Linked DNA regions of Struthio camelus. The protein of the gene in region 2 purifies or fractionates together with the protein of the main gene of each other region. This does not show direct contact. Links are inferred from orthologs where the notes say so. Each region holds a gene or a part of one and is shown on either strand. Other genes may lie near its edges.

The links. The genes of interacting proteins can lie anywhere in the genome.
Region 1: the proteins of PTP4A2 (region 2) and CNNM4 purify together in Homo sapiens (affinity purification with mass spectrometry; 6 studies listed by BioGRID and IntAct, counting the BioPlex papers as one, with this or other methods). This does not show direct contact. The link is inferred for Struthio camelus from reciprocal best matches to the Homo sapiens genes PTP4A2 and CNNM4.

Annotation. Positions count from the first base shown.
Region 1 is NC_090968.1:1,292,295-1,301,784, reverse strand, and holds the start of CNNM4 (metal transporter CNNM4), read right to left. Parts: upstream 4,526-9,490; coding exon 3,070-4,525; intron 1-3,069. Other genes in the region: LMAN2L (VIP36-like protein), read left to right, coding at 6,171-6,312, 6,385-6,503, 8,962-9,079. UniProt on the Homo sapiens protein: Probable metal transporter. The interaction with the metal ion chaperone COX11 suggests that it may play a role in sensory neuron functions. May play a role in biomineralization and retinal function.
Region 2 is NC_090964.1:8,672,780-8,683,017, forward strand, and holds the start of PTP4A2 (protein tyrosine phosphatase type IVA 2), read left to right. Parts: upstream 1-5,951; 5' UTR 5,952-6,122; intron 6,123-6,161; exon of another isoform or gene 6,162-6,380; intron 6,381-7,270; 5' UTR 7,271-7,348; intron 7,349-10,238. Other genes in the region: KHDRBS1 (KH domain-containing, RNA-binding, signal transduction-associated protein 1), read right to left, coding at 5,237-5,330.

The DNA of each region.
Region 1 (9,490 bases), on a different chromosome or scaffold from region 2:
GGGCAGCAGGTGTATCCATGCTGCCTGCGGGTGGCAAGGCACGACGGGACAGCCACGTCCCAAAAACCATCAGTGCTGAGGATCATCTGGCTCCAGGCGAAGCCCCAGGTGCTCCCAGACCTCCTGCAGGAGCCGCAGAGGGGTGAAGCAACATCCTGATGTTGAAACGGAGTCTGGGAGCTCCAGCCACCCCATGGGGACATCCCTGGTCAAACCTTCACGTCAGGCTCGTGCCGAGGGAAGGAGAAGGAAGGGTATAGGCCTGCGAACTGCAGAGAAGTGCCAGATATCGCTGTAGGAGCTTTCTTCCCAGGGCTGGCAGTTAGGATGCATCTGTGGTAGCTGAGGGAGAAGCAAACTGCCAAGAGCCACGCTTACGACGATCAGAAGCGCTGCTGGTTGATTTTTTGCCTCCTTCACCTTTTGCTTTGCTCGAACCCAGTCCTGGTATTTCCTCATGAAGCTCATCCAGTGCCAGAGGTGAACCTTCCTGAGGCCAAGGAATTCAGCCCACCTTCCAGAAACAACCTGACCCAAACCACACAGTCCCTAGGGATGGATTTGGGGAGCTGGAGGGAGCTGTCGAGGCAACTCCAAGCCCTGAACCTCCCCAAAACAACCCTAGAGGTTCCCGCACAACAGCCATCAGGGCTGTGACATGCCGCGGAGGGGACCAGAGTCACCCAGAGAGGCAGCCTTAGCTTCGGCGCAGCTCCTGCTCACTTTGAGTCCCAACCAGTGGGATGAGGCACAGACTCGCCATGATCTGGTACTCGCTGCGGGTGGTACTACATCCACGGTGACTGTGAGTAACGGGAAATCAGTGTTCGGTCCCAAAAAGGGACCTCAGAAACAGCTACCACATCCGAGGAAGACAGCAGGCCCACAAATTACCCACTCTCAAACCAGAGAAGAAGTGACAAAAAATAACAATACGGGATATTCGAGGCCTTGTAATTGGAATGAGCAGGCTTTAAATCCTTTCACAAGGATTCATCAGAGGGAAAGGCTGGTGCCAGCAGCCGTGGTAACTCCAGCTCCAACAGCAGAGAGACAGAATAGGACTCCGGTTCTGTTTTGTTGGTTTTTAGAAATGGGGCCAGGATTAAGAGAGACAGCCGTACGCATTCGTATTGTGCTGCTTGGGGTGAAATTCTTGAACCAGCGCAAGATGAACTAAAGCAAAAGCATTTGCCAAGAAGGTTTTCATTAATCAGGAATGAAAGTTGGAGGCTCGAAGACGATGAGATCCCGTCACAGTTCCAACCACAAACAACACCGACCCATGATCCGGTGGCGTTATTCCCAAGTTGAAATTTTTGGGTTCGGGGCAGCACGATCACAAAAGTTTCAGGGAAGACAGAAACAGAGCCTATAACTTGCTGCGGCCTGAGCACGTGTCCAGTGTCACCAGGGAGGCCACCTCGTAAACTCTCAGCTCTCTGCTGGGCTCAAAGATCAGCCTGGCTTGGGTCTACCAGGTCACTCCCAAATCCTTGCTCGAGCAAAGCTCTGGCTGCAGGAAGAATTGTTAGACCTCCTAAATCCGAGGAGCATGCAGTTTCTTGGCTGGAACCGGCTGAGTCCAGACTGGAAACCACCCCTGGAGGCAGGGGCTCAAACCCAGCAGGCAACGCTGGCCTGAAGCCTACCTTCACCTCAACCCACTGCTGCGGCAGGGAGCTGGTACTGACCTCCTCCGCGCTGCCCCGAGCCCAGCAGACCTCCCGCAGTGGGACCAAACCTTCCCTGTGCAGATGTAACGGGAGACAGAGGAGACACCAGGGTCACACACGGCTGAGGCCTGGCATCGCCCGGCACAGCTGTTCCCAAGCCGGGTTACTTATCCCGTCCCCAAGGCAGGCAGGTCTCGCAGCCGGCACCGCACGGATCCTCACCTCTGCCGTGATCAGCCACTGCGGCCTGGACCGCGGCTGCCCACCCTCCCAGCCAACAGCCGTCGCTGCGTAACGCTCTGGGCATGGCTGAGCCCTGTTTCGGGCCGCGAGCAGCAGGCAGGTCGGCTGCCAACACCCCCCGAGGCAGCTGGGGCCCCAGCGTGTGCCGGCAGAGAGGCTGGGTGACCCAAACCGGCCTGGCAGCAGCTGCAAGAAGCTCGGGAAGGAGGGACGGTCTCCTGGCTGGTGCGGGTTTTCTCCTCACTCCCGGGCGAAGAGAAGGCGCACGGTGCAAACATGGTGGTGCAAAGGCCAAGCGGAGACCTCGGGCCTTCAAAACCTGCCTCCGAATTAACGCGGCCTTCTCTCGCTCCCGGCAGCGCCGGGGCCGACGAGAGGAGCCTCCCACCGGTCCTGGCCCTGCTCCCACCGGCGAGGCAGCCCCAACGGGCCTTCCAGCCCCTCCTGCCCCCTAGCCGCTCCTGGTTTTGGGTGCCCGAGCGCAAGGTGGGGCAGGAAGCGCTGTGATCGGGGCCGGCAGCGAGCCCAGCTCGCCGTTCCCAGCGCCTGGAAAGGGCCCAGAGGAGGGAGCAAAGCCCGAGCCAGGGATCGGAGCGATTTGCCAGGAGCCATTGAAGGGCCTCCGGGGCTGCTAATTAGGAACCAGAAGCGAGTCAACAGCCTCAAAGTGTTTCTAGGGGCTGGCATTAAGCAGAGCGTGCCCTGCCGATGGTAAAATAGAGGCTCTGTCCCTCCCCGACCCAGGTGCAGGGCCGTTACAGCTCGGACCCCGGAAACACGGCCCGTTGCAAGCACCGAGGCCGAGCTGCCGCCCCGGTTCCTGCCCGTCCCCAGCGGCACAGCACAGCGGTGCGTGCACAGACACCTCATCCCCTCTGTCTCCCAACGCCCAAAGCCAGCAGAGCCCGGAGCTCGGCCCCGAGGAAGCCCCCTGGGCTGTCACCGCGCGCCAAGCGCAGGCGGCTCCGGCCCTGGAGCGCCGCCAGAGACATTCAGCCGAAAGTTTTGCTTCCGGCATCTAAGCCTCGTTAAGAGCCTCCTCCGACCGGAGCCGGAGATGTTGCTGTGGGAACAAGCCAGCGGCCCAGCCCAGCCCGAGCGGAGCAGTCCGGCGAGCGGCACCCACCCGGCCAGCGCCCAGCCCTCTCACCCTTTTTGAACTCCTCCAGCATGGCGTCCAGCTTGGTGTCGTGGAAGACGACGTGCACGGGGTGGTTGTAAAACTTTGTGATGGTCTTGAGCGGGGTGCAGTCGTCAGGGTCGACGAACGCCAGGTCCTTGACGTAAAGGATGTCCATGATGTTGGAGCGCTCGTCCTCGTAGACGGGGATGCGGGTGAAGCCGCTCTCCATGATCTCCGACATGGTGTTGAAATCCAGGATGGCGTCGCTGTTGATCATGAAACAGTTGTGCAGGGGGGTCATCACATCCTCCACTGTCTTGGTCCGTAGCTCCAGGGCTCCCTGGATCATGTTGAGCTCCTCCCTCACCAGGTCATTGTATGGCTCCGTCACCTTCAGCATCTCCACCAGCTTCTCCCGATTGTAGACAGTACCGATCTCCTGGCCCAGGATGCAGTCCAGCAGCTTGCTGATGGGGAAGGAGAGGGGGAACGTCACCAGCATGAAGAACTTGGTGACCACGATGGTGTTGGCGCCCACGGCCAGACCGTGGCGGGAACAGAGCGCCTGGGGCACGATCTCGCCGAAGATGACGATGCCGATGGTGGAGGCGACGACGGCGCCGATGCCGGAGCCGATGAGGTCGTCGAGGAGGATGGTGAGGGTGGTGTTGACCAGCACGTTGCCCAGCAGCAGGGAGCAGAGCAGGTAGTTGCCCTTGCGCCGGATGGGCTCGATCTTGCGGGCGTAGCGCTTCTCCTTGTCGGTGCCGCAGTTCTGCACGATGCGCAGCTCCATGGGGTCCAGCGCCATGAGGCCCAGGTTGAGCCCGCTGAACATGCCCGAGAGCACCAGGAGCCCGGCGATGAGGATCACCTGGAGCCAGAGGGGCAGCAACGACTTCTTCTCCTCCAGCACCACGATGCGGCCGTCGGGACCCTGGTGAGGCAGCCAGGGTTGGCCGGGCCGGCGTTGGGTGCAGAGCACGTAGGTCTTGGCCTGCTCGTCCTTGCGCAGGGGCTGGACACGGACGCGGAGCAGGGCCGAGGTGTTGCGAGCCTCGGCGGGGCCCGGCTGCACCACCAGGTCCTGCGAGCGCTCGGGGCAGGTGCCGTTGGGCGCCGAGGCGTTGGCGGCGGCGGGCCGCAGCTCGGCGAAGGCCACGCGCTCGCCGGTGCGGGGCCCCAGGCCCAGCCCGTAGAGGCGCAGCAGCACCTCGCTGCCCTCCGTGACGCGGATGGGCCCGCGGGCCGGCGCCCCCGCCGCCGGCTTCGTGCTCTCCTCCAGCCTCATGCCCAGGATGAGGCTGTCGCCCGCCGGCGCCGCGCCGCCGGGCAGCGCTAGAAGCAGCAGCAGCGGCGGCAGCAGGGGAGGCGCCGCCGCGCCGCCGCCGCCCGCAGCGTCGGGACCGACCCCGCCGCCGCCGCCTCCTCCGCCGCCTCCGCCGCCGCGCCGCCGCCGCCAGCCGCCGCCGCCCGGCGCCATGTTAGCGTCTGGCGGGCGCCGCGCGCACTAGCCGCCCGCCGCGCTCGCGGGCCGCGTCACCCGCCGCGCCACGCCCCCCCCGGCCGCCGCGCCACGCCCCCCCCGCCGCGCGTCACCCACCGCGCCGCGCCCCCTCCTCCGGCTGGGCGGGGCCACGCCCCCTCCCCCGCCTTAAAGGGGCCGCGCCTGGGGTGGTGGGGGAGGGCGCGCACGGAGAGGGGAGGCGGGTGGCACGTTGGTGTCTCCTAAGTTGGGGGGGGTCACACGGGGTGTCCCTTGGGTGGGGGGGTGGCACACGAGGGTGGCGAAGGAGTGGCAGGTGGGGAAGTGACACTTGGGGGTAGCTGCTAGGGAAAGGGGGTGGCCCCCGGGTGTGTGTGGGGGGGGTCCCATGGGGTGTCCCTTGGGTGGGGGGGGTGGCACTTGGGTGGTCCCTGGTGGGATGGGGGTCATGTGGAGGTGGCGACACTTGGCAGTGTCCCTTAGGGAAAGGGGGTGGCACTCGGCGGTGTCACCCCGCCGTGCCGGGAGTCCCAGCCCGCGGGGCGCAGCCGGTCTGGCCCAGTCCCCGGGCGGGGGTGGCCCGTCCCAGGCCCCGTCCCCGCGGGGTGAAGGTCGCCCCAGCAGCGTGCGGCGCCGGGAGGGGCAGGGCAGCGCCCCGGGGAGCGGCTCCGGCACTGCCGCGGCCTGCCAGGGCCCCTGCACCCCGGGGGCAGCACCCGGGGCAGGTAGGACGGGGGGGGAGGACAGTAGGACTGGGGCAAGGGAGCAGGAGGCAGGGCACTAGGACCTGGGGGTGCAGAGTCGGTTTGAGAGGGGGCAGGAGGCAGGTTGGGGGGCACTAGGACCTGGGGGAGCAGAGCCTGTTTGGGGAGGCAGGTTGCGGGGGGGGGCACTAGGACCTGGGGGAGCAGAGCCTGTTTTGGGGAGGCAGGTTGCGGGGGGGGGCACTAGGACCTGGGGGAGCAGAGCCTGTTTTGGGGAGGCAGGTTGCGGGGGGGGGCACTAGGACCTGGGGGAGCAGAGCCTGTTTGGGGAGGCAGGTTGCGGGGGGGGGGCACTAGGACCTGGGGGAGCAGAGCCTGTTTGGGGAGGCAGGTTGCGGGGGGGGGCACTAGGACCTGGGGGTGCAGAGCCTGTTTTGGGGGGCGTAAGAGGCAGATGGGGGGGGCACTAAGACCTAGGGTTTGCAGAAGGGAGGCACTAGGACCTGGGGGAGCCTGTTTGGGGAGGCAGGTGGCGGAGGAGAGGGGGCACTAGGACCGGGGGAAGCAGAGCCTGTTTTGGGGGGGGCAGGTTGGACTAGGGAGGGCAGGAGCCACGGGAAGGGGAACTAGGGCTCAGAAGGGGGCAGGCCCGGCCTAGGGGCCGGGAGACCCCGCGGCAGCACGGACCCATCCTGAGCGCCGCCGCCGGCCCCCTCCCGGGCAGGCGGGTTCCGCGCGCGCGCCCTCCCCCCCACCGCTGGCCGCACTACATCCCCCGTCACCCCCCGCGCGCCCGCTCCCGGACTGATGCGCGGCGCTGCCAACCGGCGAGCGGCGGGGGGTAGGGCAGCCAATGGCGGCGCGGGGGGGGCGGAGCAGCCAATAGCGGCGCGGGAGGGGCGGGGCGCGCGGCGCGCGGCGCGGGCACCGGAGGGAAGATGGCGGCGGCGATGGCGGCGGCGGGCCGGCGGCGGGCAGGGCTGGCGCTGCTGGTGTTGGCGCTGCGGCTGGGCGGGCCGCGGGCCGAGCAGACGGAGGAGCACCTCAAGCGGGAGCACTCGCTGTCCAAGCCGTACCAGGGTGAGCGGGGCGCCGGTAGCGGCGGCGGCGGCGGCGGGGCGGCCGGTGCTGACCGTGTGCGTGGGCCGGCAGGCGTGGGCTCGGCCAGCTCGGGGCTCTGGGACCTGCTGGGCAACGCCATGGTCACGACCCAGTACATCCGCCTCACCCCCGACGTGCAGAGCAAGCGGGGCGCCGTCTGGAACCGCGTGGTGAGCGCCGGTACCGGCGGGGGGCGAGGGGGAGCGGGGCCGGGCCGCGGGGGCCTGCGGGTGGGGGGCCTGGGCAGGGAGACTGGGGTGGGGGGGGAGTGGAGGAAGGGGGGAGTTGGGGAGGGTCTGGGACATTGGGGGGGGAAGGTGGTGGGGGGGAGCTGGGGGGGATATGGAGGGGAATGGGATGGAGGAGGGGGGCCCGGGGGTGGGGGGTCCAGGGGGACCGGGCTAGGAGAGTGGGGAGGCTGGGCTGGTGGGGGGTGTGGGGGGGCTGGTCTGTCTGGGGGCTATAGGGAGGGGATCTGAGGGGTATGGGGAAGAGGGTTTGGGCTGGGGGGAGTGAGGGGGGCTGGAGGGAGGGTCTGCACAGTGCTGGAGCAGTGAGGGGGAGTAGGGGTCTGGAGCCAGGAGATTTGTGGGGAGGGAGATACGGGGTGGGGTGGCTTGGGGGGCTGCGGGGGCACGGGATAGCTGGGTGTTTGGGCCAGGGCGATGTGGGGGTCTGAGGTGCTGAGGGGAGTTGGACTGGGCTGTGGGGGGTTGGGGGGTCATGGGATCTGCCCTGAGATGTAGGGGGCTGGGGAAGCGTAGGGGCCTGGGGGGTGCCAGTAGTTCCTCAGCTCAGTCTCCAGCCTTTGGCTCGGCGACTCCTGCCTCTGGCAAGGGCTGAGCCCCTCGTCCCAGCCGGGGTGACTCGGCTGAGGGGCTGCAGTGGAGAGGGGAGCGTATCATGGGCTGTTCCCCCTGCACATGAATTTGGGGGTGCCTCTCTCCGACGGCTGTGGCTGGAGCACTCCGACTGCCTGCTTTGCTGCGCTCTGGGATTTGAAGCAATGCCAGTAATGGAGGCACCTTGCCATGGCGGGCAGGCTCTGGCGAAGCCGCATGTTTGGCCATGTAGGTGCCAGCAGGGATCCTTGTGCAGTGGCCTGGCTCTCCCAGCCCGGGAAGCTGCTTGCTTTGGCTGCAGAGTGGCCAAGTGACCCTTGTGGCCTGGGCACGCAAAGGATTGCAGCTCAGAGGGCAGAAGGACAAGGTCATCTCGTTGGGCCTGCGCTCCCGTAGCAGGGGCTCTGCACGTAGCTCACAAGTGTGCGTGATGGATTCCAGCCCTGGGTGTGATTGCTAAGCCGTGGTCGCAAACCCCGGCCGCTGGGACTTCGCTCTTGTCTCCCAGCCCTGTCCACAATCAGCTCTTATTTAGCAACGGAGAAAGACATGTGAGATCATGACTTTCTTGCGCTTCCCTTGCCTCAAGGGCTTGTAACCTCGCTGTTAATGTCTGCTCTTGTAGCTGCCGTTGTGTGCTTCGCTGAGGCCTTGAGCTGCCTCCCTGTGGCTGACGGATAGCAAGGGTCTGTCTAACAACTTGATAGTTTGGGTTGGTGTTTACTTTGGGCTTTAGACCGGTGCTTTTTTGCGCCCTGGCGTCTGGCGGTAAGTGCAGGCTTACCCCACCTTGCGTGGCTGGTTCTGCCTCCCTATTTGTGTCGGTGTCATAGCACTACTGGGGTATACGGAAACGTGTCCGTTAAGAGCCCATCTCTAGCCTGAATGCCCTCCGAGTCGTCAGGAGTTTGCTCTGACTTCTGCCGTGAACCTATGGGAACGGGCTGGCTTGTTGAGGCTGTGTCTGAGGGCGGTCCGACGTTGAGTGGTGTCTCCCGGCTTGGGCATCGCTCTGTCCTTCCCTATATAAATTCAATAGCAGCGAAGTGCTTTCAGATGGCACACGTGAGATCGCTTAGACATTCTGGAGTGGTTTGGAAAACGTTTCACAAGACCAGACGTAGTCTGGGATGCTCAACTTTTATTGTTATAAAATATTGCGGGAGGTTTTTCACTTGGGTTTATGGCTCCCATGAAATGTTGTGGCTTATACGAGTTTCAGAACGAAGCTAGCAACCGGCTTTGTAACGTCGTGTGAGTGAATCTGTTATGAACTCCTCATGTTTTGTGCCTGTTAGCGTAGGCGATTCGTTTGTAGCTCAGAAAATAATTGGCTCATCTGCAATTACAAAATTGAAGCTGCTCCTTAGGCTCATTCTAGCCTCCTTTTCCCTGGTGTGAGGTATTGATTTTGCTGGAGTTGCTGCTGTTTCAGAATAGTATGAGATAAGAATTGGTTTCTTGGCTTTTTATAGCCCTGGGTAACAACCAATTCCCTCGGCTTAATGACGCCTTTGGGGATTAATTATTCTTGCTCACATCCCAAATACAGGACAACAGTGGTCTGTTGGCAAGGGAAATGGGGAGCATTAACTCTCTGATCTGAAGCCGCGTAGAGCTGCAGGCAGCCGCTGCCTTTTGTCGTGGTGGGCAGGGGATAGTGCAGCCAGCTGCAGCCATCCGTCCCCGCCAGAGCCTGACCCTCAGCTGCAAGAGCAGCGGGTTCCTGAGGGTCCCTTGGCACTCGGGGCACCCTAATTTCACAGGCTCATTCCTTCTCTTGCAGCCGTGTTACCTCCGCGACTGGGAGATGCAAGTCCATTTTAAAATCCACGGGCAAGGCAAGAAAAACCTGAACGGAGATGGCTTTGCCATCTGGTACACCAAAGACCGCATGCAACCAGGTAAAAACACTGCCGGTAGCCGTGGCTGCGCCTGATGCTGCCTCTGAACCTCAGGTCTCCGGACTGGAGATTTACAGGGTCCTGGGAGACTGGAGTCATCAGCTCGGCAGTTGCCAGCTTTGGGATTGTTTTGCTGTGATCTCACTATGAGACGCAGAGCAGTGTAATGGGAGCTGTGGGGCCTCCTGCTCTGGGAGTCAGCTCTTTGAACACCAGATTGGGTAGGAAGCTGAATTCTGGTCCAGCAAAGGGTAGGACCCTTCTGGCTTTCCTGTAGCACAGGGGGTCTGTGTCCTTTCTTAACGGTTCAAGGCTGCATGGAGCTCTGTAGCGCCTGGCTCTGCTCTCTGGCGTTTGAAGCCTTGTTCTGTGGTACGATGTGGCTCCATCTTACAGAAGCGGGTGAAGGCT
Region 2 (10,238 bases):
TTTTCCTGTGATTTCAGTCCATGTCAGAAACTACATACTTTAGATTAAATTGTCATTGCCATGCTTACAGTTTTGGAAGACTGGCGTATCAGATACTTGACACGTTATCCACCTAATACCGTGTTCATGTAATCCAAACAAATAGGAACAATGGGTTACCATAATATTTCTGACTGGACAGGCAACTACGGCCTAACACTCTGGGAAGCGTGCCTGGCATGTTTGAATGAGGCAGACTGCAAGAAAGTCAAGCAACCAGACGGGCAACCAAAAAGCCTAAGAAAACAGATTGAATGATCGATATTTTAAATGATCAGTTATGGTCAAACTGATGCAAACTAGTTTTAGTTAGAGAACTAAATATAGAACTTGGAGATTACGTTGCAAAATTATGAAAGAAACCTAAGTTTTGTAGTTTACTTGCAACAGCATCTTGGCTCCATTACAAACACGTTAGCATGACTCCTTAATTGAAAAAAAAAAAAAAAAAACTGGATCTAATAGGCTTTAAAAAGGATAGCTTGATTTTTCCTTTAACAAGAAATGATTTTCTGAAGATGCTATGCAAAAGTAAAAACAAGTTCAAGCACCACCAAATTTATAAAATAAGCAAAAGAGCTGTCTGCCTTGGTTAGTTTTACTTACAGGTTTTCAATTTTTACTATAAGCATACATCAGAGAAAAAAATTTGGAAACTAATGATTGCATTGCTGGCCTTAGCACTGGCTAGCCGTAGCTTTAGATCCTCTAATGCAATGAGATTCCTTCTCAAATATTTTGCTTCTGCAAACACAGTAAGTTTCTCAAAATATATTCTGCGTATTAACAAAAAGTACTTTTTGAATGAACATATTAAGAATAAAGGCACCCTCAAACTTTCTTAATACAAAATTAAACTACCTAGAGGCATCTTCTATCTTGCCAAAACACAGAAAGTGATCAGAACGTAAGCCTCTGTAAACCAGTGAATTACTTTTCACATCAACCACACAGCAAGATCCATTCTGCCTCTTGCAACAGTAGCAACATCATCTGGGAATTGTTCTATGAGGACAACAGATCATTAACCATTTGCTGAGAGAAGCATCGGATTCACCATTGCCACGTCTTCAAATGAAATCCAAAAGATACGAGGAGGAAAAAAAACCCTATCCCAGCAGCACAACTCGAAATCCTCCAGCTTTTGTTATTCAGGTCACCGTAGGTGACCTAGCAGTCCCCTTCACACCTTCAGACAAATTCCAAGTCTGCAAAGAGGTGCAAAGGAGGACTAAAAACATGCCGCTTGTGACGTGTCCTACTGATCTGGATTCCAGCGTTATCTGTATGCATTCTGGCATATTAGCTACGCAACACGAAGCAGTACTGAATGAACCGATGAGTGGTAGCAGTTTGTCAGACGACTTACTGATATGAAGAAGCGTACATATACCTTGAGGGATTAAGCATGCCTCATTTCAGTGCTGATTTTTTAAAGCCGTGTCAGAGGTGCAGCAGAAGGTTACCTTCTTGCCACGGGGAATGTCAGCAGTCTGGCAGCATGTGTGGCAGTGGTTTCCAGGACTTCATGTGGGGCAGTGATTGCATTGTCTCAGAAGAAATCCTAAGGGGTAGGTAAAGGGGGTTGGTAACACTGCTGCTTCACAAGGAGGAGGCTCAGCAGCCGTAGTGCTACTCCTGATCTAAGCCCGAGCTTTTCCTTAACAAAGGACATATTACACATTGTCCTGCAGCACACCTGTGCTCTGTAAGCAGAGACACATTCTATTCATTCACAATTCTGATATCAGAAGTATTATCTCAATATTATGATAATACTGATCCCATACCCCCCAAAATTTAATAAGAGGTGGGGGGGGGGCGGGGAAGAAGGGGCATCTAGAAGAAAGCAGAGCTCCATCTCTCCCATGGCACTGCTCCCTAGCTGATTTGATTTCACAGGAGACGAATCAGGGACCCGTTCCTGGATAAATTTGGCCAACAGTGGAAGTGGCAGAATTTGGCAAGTCTAACCCCATCATTTCCCTCCCACTTCCTTCTGGAATACACCCCCCACTCTCCAGCCTGTATATGCTGGGATTCATATGCAGGCAGCTCTGCTTTGGAGCTTTGCTGGGAAGGGCGAGGACTGCCACTGGCACAGGGAGAAGGGGCATGGGGAAGAAAAGAAATACTGCTCAAGCATGGGGTGGGGAGGAAAAAGCCTGGAGGTGAGCTATGAGAAATGGTACAGGCAGTAGAGACTCTTGCGAGAGAAGTGGGAGGAGGTAGAGTCACGGCAGTGACAGGTAGATTAGCATGAGCGTCTAATAACGTTGGCATTTCTTAGCAGGATATACATTTAAAAAATGCAACAGTAAAATGCTATTAGCATATCACTCAGTTTGCAACATCTGGGCACAAGTTTAAGGTGGTAGTTACAGCTCCTTTGGGGGCTAGGACATACACTTGGAAACACAGAAATTTCTCCTCCATTTCAGGACAGCCTTAACCCCATGCTGAGAAAGCCTCAGGACATTCTATCGCTTTGGGTTATATACAGTTTCTCATCACCCCTGTGACCTCAGCCCATCTCTAATCCCACTGTTTGGTTCCTTGGCAAGTTACTCCAGCGAGGCCACTGCCCATCCATCTGACTTTCCCATACAGCCTATGTTTCCACCATCCGTGTTCTTCCTAGGAATACATACAGATTAAATAACTCTGGCACAAGAATCAGCAGAGTCAGCAGGGTATTCTTCTGAGGATTCCTTCAACTTCTCAAGCCGCTCTCTACTGTGCAATGTTTTGATCTAACTCCAATTGCTCAGAGCTTCCTTCCTTCATGGGTTTACTCGAATACCTCGAGTTACCTATTGCTCTGAACTTAGCCCTCACCATCCATCTCCATCCCTCCTCACCACTCTACGTGTCTGGGGAGGTAAAGGGCTGCATTTAACATGAGGACCAATTAGATGCTAGCAATGTAGAGATCCATTAGTGGAGCGGAGATGGGGCTTACACATTTATTTGTAGCACTGGAAGCTCAGAGGTGAAGAGGCCTGCTCTTTTCAAGGAGAGTTCCACCATGAAATGAAGAGAGCTTGCTAAGATTAACACATGAACTTGAAAAAAACATGCCTGGCTAACACTTACATCGGTAGATGTCTCCCATCCTCCCAATGCACATAAGCAGAGAAAATTGCGCCTTTCAAAGCATCAGCATCCCCCCTGCCCCCGCAACAGATGAAGGGCATAAATCAAAGTGAGGGAAAGGGATTTTCTTGTTCCTATGGAAAGGGAAGGCCATGTAGACCCCGAGTCATAAAAGTGAGGAGACATGGATCCTATTCCAAAGGGTAAGAAACCCCAGTTTTCGATTTCTATTCGGGGTGCTGTGCTACAGAACCCTAAAAGGTAGCCACTTTTCTCCCTTTTGATCACACAGCCCATTGTTCAAGAATTAGGATTATGTCACTGCGTTGCCCTTCATCTTGCTCCTAAACAATGCTGATTTCTTTCAGAAAAGCTAAGCAGCACTAGAACCACACAAGTATTTTGGACTACTTTAAAATACTGTTTTTAAACAAGATGTCTTAGTTTCAGTGCAGAACTCCTGCAGGAGTTCCTCCGGAATGCAGCATGAACTTGCATTCTTGAGAAAAGGCTGGCATAGGGATAGGGATACTGCTGCTGTTCCGTGACCAGTCGTTTTGAAAGCCTGTCTGAAAAATCATTTTGATGAAGTCACGCTGCACACACGCATTACAATCTTTGACCCAGACTTAAATTCCAAAGTGAGATTTTTCAGCTGGCTCTTCAACACGACATACTCAAAGGGTGCCACAGCAGTAGAGAAATTCTGAGCAATCCAGGTCAGTTGGGGAACAGCTGGTCATCTGTGCAAAAAGAGGCTCCTAAAACGGTGGCTTTATTTCAGATTCTCTCTCACGAGCCTCCTGCTTAGATCGCCCTAAGTTTGGGCTGCCTAGTGAATGCTCCCAAAGGACAGGAATTTTCAAATAACCAAAGCAAGGCAGAAGCATCTGGAGCTCTTCCAATGATCAATCCTAAGTCTCACAAAGCTGCGCTCTACTATCAGCAATTTTTAAATTGATGAAAAACTCATAAATCCTTGCGACAGCACTCAGTGAATGAAGCTTTGCTAAATGGGATGAGAACGCTGTTCTTTGAGCAGGAATTAGCAAATTCCTTAGGTTTCATTTCACCGCAAGGCATTATCACAGAGCTGTTGAGCATCAGCTGGCTAAAGGGTTTTATTAATAAAAAAAAATTGTGGCAAATCAGACTATAAAACTGATTTATGGAGATCAAGATGCCCATGAGCGATGCCAAGTCACTCATGACATTGACATATCTCAGTTACTTGTACAATGGGAGACAGCAAGTCTTAATAAAGTCTCTAGCACTGCAACGATTACAGCCACATTACATACTTTAAAGACTGTTTAAAAAAAAACATTTAGAAACAGAATGGTAATAACTAGAGAGCTAAGCACTCTGCTCATCTGTAAATCGAATCCGAGTTCATCCTTCTTGTGCTGAGCACATCCCAGCTCTCCACTCCATGCACATTAAGCAGTAAGTGGCAGAAATTGCTTAACTTGTTCCAATTTTTAAGCTAACTACAGTGTCGTGAGGCAGCTGAGTCTACTTGATACAGCCACCAAATGCGGGTGCAGCAGCTGCACTGGAGAGATAGGGAGAAATCAGAGCCGCCAGGCGATTGGACAGTGGTGATGGGGAAGGAGAAGGCTAGTCTGGGCACAGAACAAAGACTGCCATTTCCATTCCCTATTTAGGCTCATCAAAAGCATGAAACAAGCTCTAATACGGATTTCCAGAGTAGAAATGCAAAGAGATCACAAATCACGCCTCGCAGGGGCTCCAGCAGACGCTACCTGGAAAACCCCAGTCTTCACCGTTCTCTCGGGTCCCCTCTTCCCCCAGGGACGAAAAGGGGGAACACGACCGTACCTTGCTTATCAAAAAGAAAGTTCTAGGTTTGTGCTTAATCCAGGCTAAGCACGGAGGAGGGGGAGGGCGCTAAACAGAGATTAAATAATAGAAATATCTCGGTAACCCCCCCACCACCGAGGGAGGCGGGGCGCATCTCACCCGGGGCCGCTCCCCGGGGGCCCTCGGCGCTCGCAGCCCCGGGCAGGGCGGCCAAGAGGGGTCAGCGGCGGCCGGGCCCCCCCCCCCGCCCTGCCCGCCGCCCCCCCGGCCGCGGTACCTGCCGTGAGGAGCTGCATGGCGTGCGTGAAGGACGGGTCGAGGCTGTCCTTCTCGGCCATCAACTCCGGCAGGTATTTGTTCTCGGGCTCCATCTTGACGGCGGCCCCCGGCAGCAGCGGGGTGGGGGCGGCGGCGGGGGCCTGGGCGGCCGAGGCGGCCGCTGTGGCGCTGGGCGGTAGGAGCGGCGGCGGCTGCGCCCCGGTGGCGGCGGCGCCTCGGCCCCCCCCACCTCCTCCTCCTCCTCCTCCGCCGCCACCTCCTCCTCCTCCTCCTCCGCGGGGCGGCCGCCGCGGGGGGGGCGCCCCTTGCCGGGCGCCGCCGGGGCCCGGCCCCCGGCCCAGGCGGGCGGCGGGGTCGTCACGGCGCTGCATGCGGGCGGCGGGGGGCGGCGGCGGGCGCGGAGCGGGCCGAGCGCGGCGCTGCCACACCGTCCGCCGCGGCGCCACGGCCGGAAGTGAGGGGCCGGAAGGACCGCCCCCCCCTTCTGCCGCTCTCTCCCTCCCTCCCTCTCCCTCTCTCTCACTCCCCCCCCCCGCACTTCCCCGCCCCCCCCCACTCCGCCGCAGCTCCCGCGCGACCACCCCGCGCGCCTCTGCGCCTGCGCCGGCACGCAGCCGCGCGCCACCCCCCTCCCCACCCCGCCCCGCCCCGCCGCGCTCCTCACGGCCCGCCCCCTGGGCCGCGCGTGCGCCGCCCGCCGCCCGCGGGAACGAGGCGCGCTCTTGGGACGCATGCGCAGTGCCGGGCCCGCGAAAGCGGAAAGCGACACGTGGGGAGCGACGGCCGCCCCGCTGCCCTGACTGCGCATGCGCAGATGCAGCGGTGTGACATTAGTCACCAGCTGCCGAGAAACTTATCCCGCAGGGGATTCACAGCGCCTGCGTGTATGTGTGTATATGTGTGTGTGTGTGTGGGGGGGGGGAAGGTCTGTGTTGCGCATGCGCAGTGGCTGCCCGCTCGAGAACAAAGCGGCTGGCGCGCATGCGCCCTGTGGCTGTGCGTCTCTGTGGAGATAGGCGTGAGGTGCGAGGCGTGTCGTAGGCCCTGGGGTGGCGGAGGGGCTCCGGCCCGGGCTGCGGCCCGAGAGTGACGGCGGGGCAGTGCCTTGGGCAGCGCAAAGTGCCTGGGCCTCGGTGGGCGTGGTGAGCGGGGCACAGCCTGCTTTGGGAGTTGGGTCCTTGGCCTACCTGCCCCTGCAGCCGTGTGCTGTGGTATGAGGCCTCAGCAGTGCCTGTGTGGGAGCTGAGCCTTCCCCTGCCTGCCTGGGGCCTTGGCAGCACCTGTGTGGGAGCTGAGCCTTCCCCTGCCTGCCCCTGTGGCCCTGTGCTGCAGTATGGGGCCTTGGCAGCACCTGTGTGGGAGCTGAGCTTTCCCCTGCCTGCCCTCATGGCCCTGTGCTGTGGTACGGGGCCTCAGCAGTGCCTGTGTGGGAGCTGAGCCTTCCCCTGCCTGCCCTCATGGCCCTGTGCTGCCGTACGGGGCCTCGGCAGGGCCCATATGGGAGCTGAGCCCCTGGCCTACCCATCCTGGTAGCCCTGTGCTGGGCTTGAAGAGAGTACTTGCCTCCTTCATGGGAGCTGGTTGTTGTCGTGCAGGGCTGGAGAGGGAGTAAAAGCTCTCGTATGAACTAGCATTGTCAGAAGTTTAGAAACTCCAGTTAGAGTTGCTGGGGTGGAGTTAATGAGGAAAGGATTATCTGTACCATCCTGAAACCCAGCAAAGAAGAACTGAACGCTTTTTTTTTCCAGTCAGGATGATCACACGTGTGAAGGCCCCTTGGGTGCAGAGATTCTGTTGCTGTGGTTTTTTGGAGGCAGCTTTTACTTAACTAGCATGCAGGACCTATCTCAGGCGCTGCAACCCCTTAAGTTAGTATCAGATGTGGCTTTTGTTTATTAATAGATTGACATTCATAGCTCAAGAACATAGCAGGAAGACTTACCAGCTTTTACAATTCTTGAAATTACACATCTACTTCAGCCTGTTAAGGAAGCATGGCAAACTCATTTTATCTCTGGCTGTCTTGTGATAGATCACTCTCTGCAGCAGCCTTCTCTGTACGTTGTTGGAGCTGATGTGCGTGGACAGACGTAGCCTCCGACATCATCAGGTAACACAGCCTGAATCTCGTTCTGTCTCTCTTGCCTCCAGGGTGCTGTTTCGGAACAGCTCCACTGAACCTGTGCAACCCTGTCACTTTGTAGTGAATGGCTGTGCAGCTTGTGAACATAAAGCCCTGCCTGTGTAAGGGAGCTGCCGCCACTGACGGCTTTAGAGCAGTGTGGGTCCCTGCCATGTGCAGGTGCAGATCTCGGTGCCTGTTCTGTTCCTTCCTTCTCAGTTCTCTTTCACATATTGTCTCTTTTTCTTCATCCCAGTTGTACATCTTTATGTCATTCTTATAAATTTTCAACAAGATTCTCTTTCCCTGCCTGCCTTCCCTGTCCCATCCAAACACACAGCTGCCAGCTGCTTCGCTTGTAAATGCCATGGGACCTTCCGAGAGCTGGGATGTGTTAGCTCTGCTCCTGGTAAAGGGCTGTCATCACCCCAGGGCTTCCACCTGCTGCCTCAGTCAGGCTCCCAGAGCACGTGTAGCTCACATCTTCCTATGACCAGCCCCTTTGCTATGCTGGTGCTGCTATGGAAGGCAGCTGTCATTAGCTGTTTACATTTGACCCGTTCCTCCAAGAACTTTGGGAGTGAGGGGGAGGAGAAAGGTGCATTTGGCTCCTTTAGAGTTTTAATTTTTAGAGGAAGGTTGCCTGATGGGGCCCTGGACTTGGAATCAGGAGATCTGGGACCAGTTTCCAGCTCTGCTGAGGCTTCCTGAGTGAAGCTGGACACTTTGCGTAACCATTCAGTTCCCCATCTGTAAATTTAAGTTACTTCTACCTTCTTTCTCTTCTACTTGGATTGTCCAAATCTGCTCAGGGTGCCCAGGGGCTGAGACATTCCTTCCTTACAGGGAAGGAGAATGGGGAATAGAACAGAGATGGGTCTAGTTTGGGCCTGAGTGCATGGCCACCCCTGCTCTGTCTTCCGCGTGTCTGTTCTCCTGTGGGTATCTTAGGAGAGCAGCTGATAAAAGCTTATGTGGATGTGATTGCTTCTGCAGTTATTCCCTGCTGCTGAGATGACAGGGTCGTTAATCAGCTAGGTCTTTGAGAGAATGCCTTTGTTTTGCTGCAGAAGAGGAAGAGGCCCGGCGGGCCTGGAGCTCTAGACATTGTGCATTATGCAAATGGGTGTGCGTCACGGAGCCACCGATGTGTGCTCAGGCGAGGGGCCCTGAGGAGGGTTTGCTGCTGGAGCTGAGAACAGAAGAACTCTTGTTCCAGCTCTCGCTGGTGCCACTTCCAGTGCAGCCGCCCACTTGTTCAGCTGGACCAGAGGCAGCAGTGATGCCAGCGGGAATGGGCTGCCTCTCCTGTGTCTGTCCTTTGCTCCAGCATTTTTATCTCAGCTGGCAGGAAAGGAAGTGTTAGTCCCTGGCTCCAAATGAAGGTACTTCTTGTTACAGTGGATTAATAAATGCTAGCTAGCCTCTGAGACGCTAACCCTGCTATTCTTAGGGAGCTTTACGAGCCTCGGTGATTTCCATCCCATGGCTAAATATTTCCGCCTCCTGGGAGATTGGAGCAGTCCCAGGCCCAGCCCTGTGCGATGTCCTGATGCCCTCTAGTGGGGTCTGGCACGCCATTGGGGCAGGCTGCTGCAGGCCCAGGGTCCCCTTGCAGCCACGCTCTATCAACAGGGCACTTTTAGGGGAGAAAACGTCACCCTCTGCTCAGGAAAATCTAGCTTCTTGCCTGGCAACACAGCCCTTCTCTGCGCTCGGCAGTGCATCTTGACTAAGGGGTTCTCTGTGCTGGCCCTGTGTAGCATTTTGTTACCCTGTCTAGGACTGGCGTGTTTTGAATGGTCTTTCTGACTCTCAGCAGGCTGATGACAGGCACAGAAAGTGTTTTCCTGGCAGGATGAGGAAGCCAGGCCTCACCTGGGGAAGGAGGTGCTGAAGCCCTGTTGCACAAACACTGCGCACAGAAGCCATGTACTACTACATGGAGTCACACGCGCACTGATAAAACTGCATGATGTCAGGAAGGGTTAAGCTCAGGGTATGATGCAGCCTGGTGCCGTCTGGTTAGTACCAGACGGGGTGTCACCTTTGGTTACTTAATGCCACGTGGCCGGGACAGGCCCTCGCCAAGTGCAAGGCTTCCTGCTCTGGATGGCTCCAAGCCAGGCGCAGAGCCCAGGCTGTGAGAAGGGTCAGGATCCTGCTCAGACCAAACTCTGAGTCACTGGTATCCGGCGCTCCACCCGCCCGCAGGGAAGCGGATCAATGGGTCATTCATTGATTTTTGTTTCACCGTGTGCAGGGTCAGGGCTGCCCTGGCCATGTGAACCTGCTCCTGGCTCCCGGCTGTGCCGCCCTGCCCCGGGCGCCCCGAGCAAGCTGGGCATCTGCTCGCCTTCCTGGGTCACTTTGTTCTTTCATGTTTCTGCCCTACTCGAGCGGTGCTGCGGTGTCAACGGAGAACACAGACGCCGCCGTCTGGATTGCGCTTCGCAGACAAAATGCAAAGCGGGCACATGCCTGTGGACGTCTGTTGGGCAACCTCACCCCGGGGACGACATCGGCAGCCCCGACCAAAGCCTGGCGACGGGGACACGGCTTCAGATCCTGCCTTTGTCCCGCCGCCCTTAAACGTCCCTAGCAGCACGGGAACGCTCCATTTGAAAAAAGAGACAGAAACGCTTATGTCTCTCCAGGCGATTGTTCTGGGTTGCCCGCAGTCCAGAAACGGTGACGTTTGCAGGGTTTTTGCCATAAGCTCCCCTCCCTCCTACTCTCCCCCCAAAAATAACGAAACGGAGTCGCTCTTCGCTGACCGGCACAAACCCGGCGGCCGCTCCTCCCCGGCGGCAGCTCCCGGCCGCTGCGCGTTGGGTACTTCCGTGCCGCGGCGGCGGAGGCGGCCTGCCGGGCCCCG